Linked DNA regions of Neurospora crassa OR74A. The protein of the gene in region 2 interacts with the protein of the main gene of each other region in a pairwise test. Links are inferred from orthologs where the notes say so. Each region holds a gene or a part of one and is shown on either strand. Other genes may lie near its edges.

Region 1 (4,005 bases), on a different chromosome or scaffold from region 2:
AAAGCTATTGTTGAAGTCGTCGACGATGGTGTTGCTGTTGTTGTCCTGTGAGTCTGGGACCTTGCAGCCAGCCTGCCTGGTACGACAGTGGGGTAGAAATCGAAACTTGCTACGGCCGGTTTCCCGTGGCTGGGAGACTTTAGCGAGCCGAATCACAACTAAATTCAGCAGGCTGGGAGGGGATGAAGATGGATGTTATTGTTGGCCTGCATCCATGACACATAATATTCCAGATATACATGATATATGCAGCTATGAAACCTTCCACCGACCTCAGTCCCCAGTTTCGTCTGTCTGTCAAAACTCGAAAGTGATCACTGAGTTGTCAAGGGCTCCATCGTTCGGAACAGCGGCAGGGCAGCGCAGTGACAGCGGACGGGAACGGTGATCTCGGCGCTTAAAAAGAGACTTGGCTTGGCTTCCGTCTGGAGGGGCAGCGTTATCGATAATGAAGGACCACAACAGCACACTAGGTCCGTCCGATCTTTGAGGTGGGAGGGATGAGACGCGCCATTGCAGCGAGGAACTGAAGATAACCTCCCGCCTCAGTGTTTTTACCTTTTCGCACACTCGTCGTTGGATGCTCAGTCATGTTATTTCGGCGCAGGAGCCCGGACACTGCAGTGGCGGCGCCGTTGACATGCTGCTTAAAATGGTGCGGTGCCCGACCGAAGAGTCCGATGTCGGCCATCTGCGAGTTAAATGTCTGTGCAGCATAATTGGGGGTGTAGAGTGCAGAGAAACTGCAATAGCTTCATTGTTCAAAGACAGACAACGACAGAGATGGAGCCAACAAAGTAGAAGCGCAAATAAAAGTTCTTTTGCGTTTCAAAGGGGATCGATGTATGCTCTCCATGATCAAAGACATCAAATCCCGGGCTGACTTCCAAAGACTGGCCAGGCCCGCAAGAAAGCCGTCTATGTACAGGCTAGCTCTTGAGAAAGAAAGAAAAAAGACAAAAGTATTCCCCCAATGGTATCCTAAAACACCTGACGTCCCATCCCATATCTATAGGAGACATCATTATGCTGCCGTTATTTGTCCTGTTATGTCGTATATGTAAAAAAAAAAAACGCCGCGTTGCTGCGGCCTCCCTGTGTTCGGCTCTTCATCTGCCCCCCTTCTCTTCTTCACCCCCTAAATATTGCCTTTACTGCCGCCATTGACTACCCTTTGGACAGGTGTCACACTCATAGAAGGCTTTCGCCGAGAGCGCACCTGACCAAGGAGCAACCAGCGCGAACAGTCTCGTGTGCGCCAACGTCGTTGGGAGCCGCCAAGGTAGGGTTGACCTCGACAAGATCGACAGCGACAAGGCTTCCCGTTTCGTGCACACACTCGCAGATGAAGTCGCCCTCGCGGAGAGTGAGACCGCCACGGACCGGGGTTCCCGTGGAGGGAGCCCACATGGGATCGAGCGCATCGACGTCGAACGAAAGGTGGATAGGGGTGTCGTTGCCGATGTGGCCGAGGGCCATCTCCATGACGCGACCGATGCCGTGCCTGATACGAAAGGGGTAATGATTAGCAAGATGCTCCGGGTATACTCATGTCATTCATCGGGGACTAGGCTTACTTGTCAATGTCGTGCATGCTGAACGCCTTGATTCCGTTCTCCCTGAGGATGCGCTTCTCACCCGGGTCGACATCGCGGAGGCCAATGTAGACCAGCTTCTTGACACTGAGGAGGTGGTCGGGCTTCAGCCAGCCAAAGAACTCCTCCTTGTCCTCGCTCGCCAAGCCTGTGAGGAAGCTGACGGGCATGCCGTGGATGTTGCCGCTGCCGCTGGTCTCGGGGGTATTGATGTCGGCGTGGGCATCGACCCAGATCACGGCAATCTCGCGTCCCAGGCGCTCCTTGATGGCCTTGGCCGAGCCGGCAATGGTGCCAATGGCAATGCTGTGGTCACCACCGAGAGTGAGGACCAGGCGACCCTCCTTGGCGTGCGAGTGGACCTGCTCAGCAATGCGCTTGGTCACGTTGGAGACGGCGCGCGGGTTCTTCATGTTGCGGTGAGGCGGGTCCTCCTTGGGAACGAGGTCAGTGTAGAGGTGCACCTCGTCATCGCCGTGCAGCCTGTAGCCAAGCTCTTCGCGGAGCTGGGTGAGAAGGCCGGACTCGATGAGGGCGGAGGGGGCGGCGTCGACACCAGGCTTGCACTAGAATTTTGGTCGTGTCAATGGATGCCAAACGCGTCAGAAAAAAAGAAAAAAATAAAGAGCATCACATACCTGGCCGCCGGAGAAGCCTACGGCAACAATGCCGAGGTCCCTTGGCTGGGAGAGAAACTTGGACTCGATTGGGGAAGACATGCCGAAAGTGTTGCCTGGTTTTTGGATCATTGGTGCCTTTGCGGACGAGGGAGCAGCTATATAAGCCGCTGCGTGGTTATCGACGAGGGAGGGAGACATTAGCAAAGAAGGAATGGTGCCGAAGAGGTAGGGTAGCAGTGGGGGTAGACGAGGGCTAGAGCTAGTGATGCAACCAAAGAGATCTCACAAGACCAAGATCGGAAGAAGGCTAGTGCAGTGTAGTGTAGTACGTAGTAGGTGTTACAAAGAGAATGAGAAGTTGTTGAGGAGAGAAGGAAGAAGAGAAATCAAATCAAATAGAAAAAGAAAAGAGAAATCAGATAGCTTTTTTTTTCTGAAACCCACGCCATGACATATTCACCTACCTTCCCGACCTCTCCATCCTAGCAAGGAAGTTTCGACATGCCTAGATTCCCACCGCTCATGCCCCGGTACTGGTCTCGGCGTGAACGGATCCGAATCACGGACCACGGATCACTTTATCCTCATCCCGCCCCGAGGAGGGATGGAGTCCGTTCCCAAGGCTCCAACAAGTCGGAAATGACGGCTATTGCCGGTACTATCCGACAATACCCTGGCATTTTTGCATCTTGTCTCACCGAGCCGAAGAGCAGATCTGGGCATCTGGCAGTGGAAGAAGGTGAGGGTAGGATTCAGTATTACGTACGGTGATCTTGGCCATGTGTCAAGGCCGCCAATAAGAGGGCCCTGATGGCGCCTCCTTGCTTGAGGGCCGACGAGGGGTTGATCAGAGAGTGGAGGGGCATCCTGTTTGACAGCAAAGACATTCGAAGCAAAGCTTGTCAGCCGAGTCAGCTTTGTGGCAGCGATCGCGAGGGATCAGCCCGGCCAAGCAGAGCAGGTGGTTGGAGACGGAGAGTCTGTGGAGGAGCATTCCCGCCAGTGGTGGCATCGAGGGTCAAGGCCCATCGTCTCATGGCTGCCACAGGTCCGAGTGGAGGTTATCTGAAGTTCTAGAAAACTTCCAATTCTCCATTTTTGCCCATTTCTGACTCAAAGCGGCGGGCCAGATAACTCGACTATGCGCCATGATAAATCGCCATTGTGGATAAAGTGCAACCAATGAGGGCCATGACTTCCTTTGACGGCTCAACCACCAGCGTTCGCCGTTCTCCGTCTCACGATACAAGACGTCCCCATAACTACCCCTCCAGAAGAAGAGAAAAGAGATCAGGAAACGAAAGCAGGAACAGATCTCATAGGGCCAAAGCAATAGATGAATTGTCTAGAAAGATCAATTCCGGGAGCCAACTCAAGAGAATTATGGTAAGAAACGGGATGTATGGTAGCAGGAACTCGAAGACGCAAAGGACCACCGCAATACATATCGATAGTCCCGCATAAACGTGATAACTGAGGGCTTTGAAAAAGACCGATCTATTCTTTCGTTGTCTTCAATTGAAACCTTGACTTTGAGTGAGGACTTCAGTTGGTACACGAATGGTAGTTGCCGTCGCAGAAAGTTGATGCTGTGGCCCTTGGTGATTTATCATGTCACATAGTTGATTTATCCGGCCCACATGGCAGGATACGAGCAGTCCAATTGACCGTCCCGGCCATACCCCGGTCTGTCAGAGGATGGTTTCGAGCACAAAAAAAAACCTCTACCCAGGATGCAGGCATTTGCCATGACACCTTCGACGACAGGACCGGAAGTCGGCAAGCTCGAG
Region 2 (3,731 bases):
ATCACATACTTCACCCACCAGTTCGGCGGCAAGGTATTGGATATTAGCACTAACAGCTGCATTGTCGAAGTGTAAGTTTGATTCACCCTTTGGTCTCGCGCCCCTGTCAAGCTTACTTACTAACCACTCTTCCACAGCTCCGCGAAGCCCGTCAGAATCGACTCTTTCCTCAAGCTCATTGCCCCCTTCGGCATTCTTGAGTCCGCCCGTACTGGTCTCATGGCCCTGCCCCGCTCTCCTCTCTACGAGCACGGCGAGGAGACCCATGTGAAGGAGGCCGATGACGTTGTTGATGCTAGCCAGCTTCCCCCTGGTTAAATGTGGGATGGTGTGTGCAAAAGGAATGGGGGAAAAATGGGAAAGGATTTACCCAGGAGTTGTGGATCGGATTGGTCAATTGGTCCTCTTATTTTCGCACTTTGCAGAATTGTCTTCATGTGCCTCGTCTATTCTAATAGCTGCAGCGGCGTTACAAGAATCACATGAAAAGTAGTTGATCAGCCTTTTGCAGCATCTCGAAAAATCTGTCATCATTTTATGTCGTTTCTCTTTTGTCTTATTACCCGTCTAGATAGAATACAATAAGACGAACCGATGTGAAGGAGGGAAAAAAAAAAGCCAAGAACTTTTGTGTGTAACTGAGAATATGGTTATATTAACCAACCAAACCCCCTTAACCCATGGAATACAACGCCTGCCTTACTGCTGCCATGATATGCTTACGATGTACGAAGAGTGGATAGAACCAAGATGCAACCAAAAGAAACCTTGTCATATCGCTTCTGCTCAAAGTATCCTACCGTTGTTGACGACGAAAGCCTCAAGGGCAGCTAGGTAAAAGCACAAACGTGATTAGCTCAAGCTTCATCCGCGGGGCAGAATAAGATCGCTTCACTTACAGACGGCAGCCCAGAGCCTATTTTCGGCTCGGGGAAGACCAAGGACTGAGGACCATAGAAAACCTCGTCATCAACCTCCTCAGGGTGCCTAGGAAGGCAGTGCATGAACTTCCAGCCGGGCTTCGCGCCGCCACGCTTAGCCAGCTCGTTGGTTATCTGGAAGCCGGCAAACGCCTTGAGACGCCTCTGGGTCTCGGCCTCCTGACCCATGGACACCCAGGTATCGGTAACCAAGATATCAGCGTCCTTGACAGCCTCCTCGGGGACCGTAGTCTCGATCAGCTTGCCGGGCTTGGCAACGCCCTCGGCGACGCTGAGGATGATCTGCTTCATGCGGTCGGGAATGCCGTAGCCGGCGGGCGAGGCGACGGCAATGTCGACGCCCAGCATGACGCAGGCGGTAGCCATGTCGAAAAGTACGTTGTTAGAGTCGCCGACCCAGGCGACCTTCATGCCCTCGAGTCCGAGGCTGGCCTCGTGGGCGGGCTTGGTGGCAAAAGCCTCGTGGATGGTCTGGAAGTCGGCAATGGCCTGGAGCGGGTGGAAGTCATCGGACAGGGCGTTGATGACAGGTACCGATGAGTCCCTGGCGAGGTCGGCGACGTCGGAGTGAGGACCGACGCGGGCTACCATGCACGAGGTCATGGAGGAGATGACCTTGGAAGTGTCATAGAGAGACTCGTTGACCTGTGGAAAGTGTCGTTAGCGATCGAGGTGCTGGTCGTTGCGCATGTATGTGTCTCCTTTAGGCAAGGGGAGGGACGATGGAGCCGAGACGGTAGTTAACACTTACACCCAGTTGGATGTCATCCTTGCCGAGGAACATGGGGTGGCCGCCCATGAGGGCCACAGCGGCCTCGGTCGAGACACGGGTCCTGGTGCTTCGCTTGCTGAACATCATGGCCACGGTCCGTCCCTTTAGCTTGCCGTCCAAAGTGCGGGGTACCTGGCCGGGGCCAGCAGCGAAGGCGGCCTTGGTGGCCTGCTTGTAAGCAGAAGCATTGAGGACAAGCTTGGAGAACTCGGCAGGGCTAAGCTGGCTGATGGAGAGAAGATGGCGGGGGGTACTGCTGGCGGCGCTGTTGGACACAGAGCGAGCCTGGATTTGTCCGACAGCGGACTTGATGGTGCGAGTAGTTGCCCGGGACATCATGATGGCGATGGTGAGGTGAGACGGGTATCTGGTGAGGACAAGGAAGGAGAGAAATGTCAAACGAAGAAAAAGTGCAATGGGGTATCTTAAGAAATGAGAGATGAGTTGTGAAAGAAGTGGGAAAGTGAGTCAGCCAGGAAGAGTGGCCCTGGGGGGAAAGCTGCAGTACTAGGAGGTAGTGTTTATCAAGGCCCTTTCCACTTCCTTCATGAATCAATTCGCGAACCGTGACTCTTCACAGGTACCCTGGTCTTTCGTCCTTTCTCTTTTCAGCCCCAGACTTTCGGAATAGCCTCTTCCCAGTCTGCAAAACCCACAGTCAAGGAACAAGACGATTAAGTAGCTCACTGTTGAGGGCCCTTACGGGGATGAGCTTGGTAGCAGGGAATAGGTCTCTTGGGCCAAAAGATAACAGCCAAGAGTTGAATTGCACAACAATTTGATTTTGAAACTGCACCGATACCGGCTATCTGCACGTTTGTCTTCCAACTCTTTATTTTATCCTTCTTGCTTTTATCTTTTTCTCTCTCTTTGAGCGGTCTTACATACTCAGTTCCTTCACGCTCACAATCAAATAGCCCAGCCACAGCTGATTCCCGCCTCCAACCGCCAATGGAGCTCAGCATGAGGTGTGTCATTCAGGATAAGAACCCTAGACTTAGTGTGAGGGACGGGTACATGCAGGTCTGACGAATTGGAGCTTGTTTAATGGTTGGTTACTTGAGCTTCACTCCACACCACGACGGGACAAGCCGGTGGGGTGTCTGGAGCCTCTGGGCAAGCCCGCTGGCGGGACTGGGCTTCTCCAAGTTCGGGGTTGCGGCCCCACCCAGGGGCATGCCGTTCAATCGTCCATCATCCATCCACTGGGAATTTGGATGCAACCGACGAGGGGAACAGGCACATCCGGTCACCGGTCCCATCGCGACCTCGCGGAAGGGTGAGGGCAAAGAGTTTCCTTCCGTGTTCCGGCGCCGGAGGTCACGCAAACCAAGAGCCATGCAGGCACGGCAGGACCAATCATCCTAAGCGGAAGCTGATCCCGGTCGCGCACAGGGCAACCTTGTGGGCATACACTAGTGTAGAAGCCGCTATTTTGGTGTAGTCCCGTCTTGGTGCAGCACTACCTTAACTGCATGAAGGCACTGTCAGCCTGTAGAATAGTGCCAACTCACGCATCATGTTGTTAGTGCATGGCTCGTGATCTAGGTACCTCCATATCCGAAGACTTGATGTGTCGGCTGCGAGCCCAACTTCAATCTCAACGTCGCCGAAACACCAACCGTCCTGCTTTGTTGCAACAGCATTCCAGTATAAATCGTCCATACTATACTTCTTCGATTCATTCTCATCAATTTCCCTAGACATATTGTTCATTATATCGAGTTCTTCTAGCCTACCAGTCCATCTTATCCTTGATCAACCTAGTATCTAGAGGTACCTCCCTGCCAACACCCGACCGTTTAACTCGTCCGTTGTCGTTATCGCAGGAGCGTCCAAGCTTCACGGCAATCTACCATTGCTCGTCTGCCTGCGATCATTCATCCACTCATTGCCCATTTCAGTCTTTACACTTCATTCATGAGGGCTTGAGAACCGAATCCAGCACAATCATTTCGACATGTCGTCTTCCGACTTCGAAACCGAGCGGTCCCCTCTGCTCGCGGCGTCGACAAGCA

The links. The genes of interacting proteins can lie anywhere in the genome.
Region 1: the proteins of arg-12 (region 2) and aga-1 interact in binary tests that used the Saccharomyces cerevisiae proteins (3 or more experiments, as listed by UniProt). The link is inferred for Neurospora crassa OR74A from reciprocal best matches to the Saccharomyces cerevisiae genes ARG3 and CAR1.

What each region holds. Positions count from the first base shown.
Region 1 is NC_026507.1:2,873,338-2,877,342, forward strand, and holds aga-1 (arginase), read right to left. Parts: upstream 2,632-4,005; 5' UTR 2,414-2,631; coding exon 2,234-2,413; intron 2,162-2,233; coding exon 1,578-2,161; intron 1,505-1,577; coding exon 1,192-1,504; 3' UTR 501-1,191; downstream 1-500.
Region 2 is NC_026502.1:2,757,938-2,761,668, reverse strand, and holds arg-12 (ornithine carbamoyltransferase), read right to left. Parts: upstream 2,521-3,731; 5' UTR 2,053-2,520; coding exon 1,693-2,052; intron 1,587-1,692; coding exon 900-1,586; intron 831-899; coding exon 720-830; 3' UTR 501-719; downstream 1-500. Other genes in the region: ilv-4 (acetolactate synthase small subunit), read left to right, coding at 1-71, 138-318; NCU01668 (hypothetical protein), read left to right, coding at 3,674-3,731.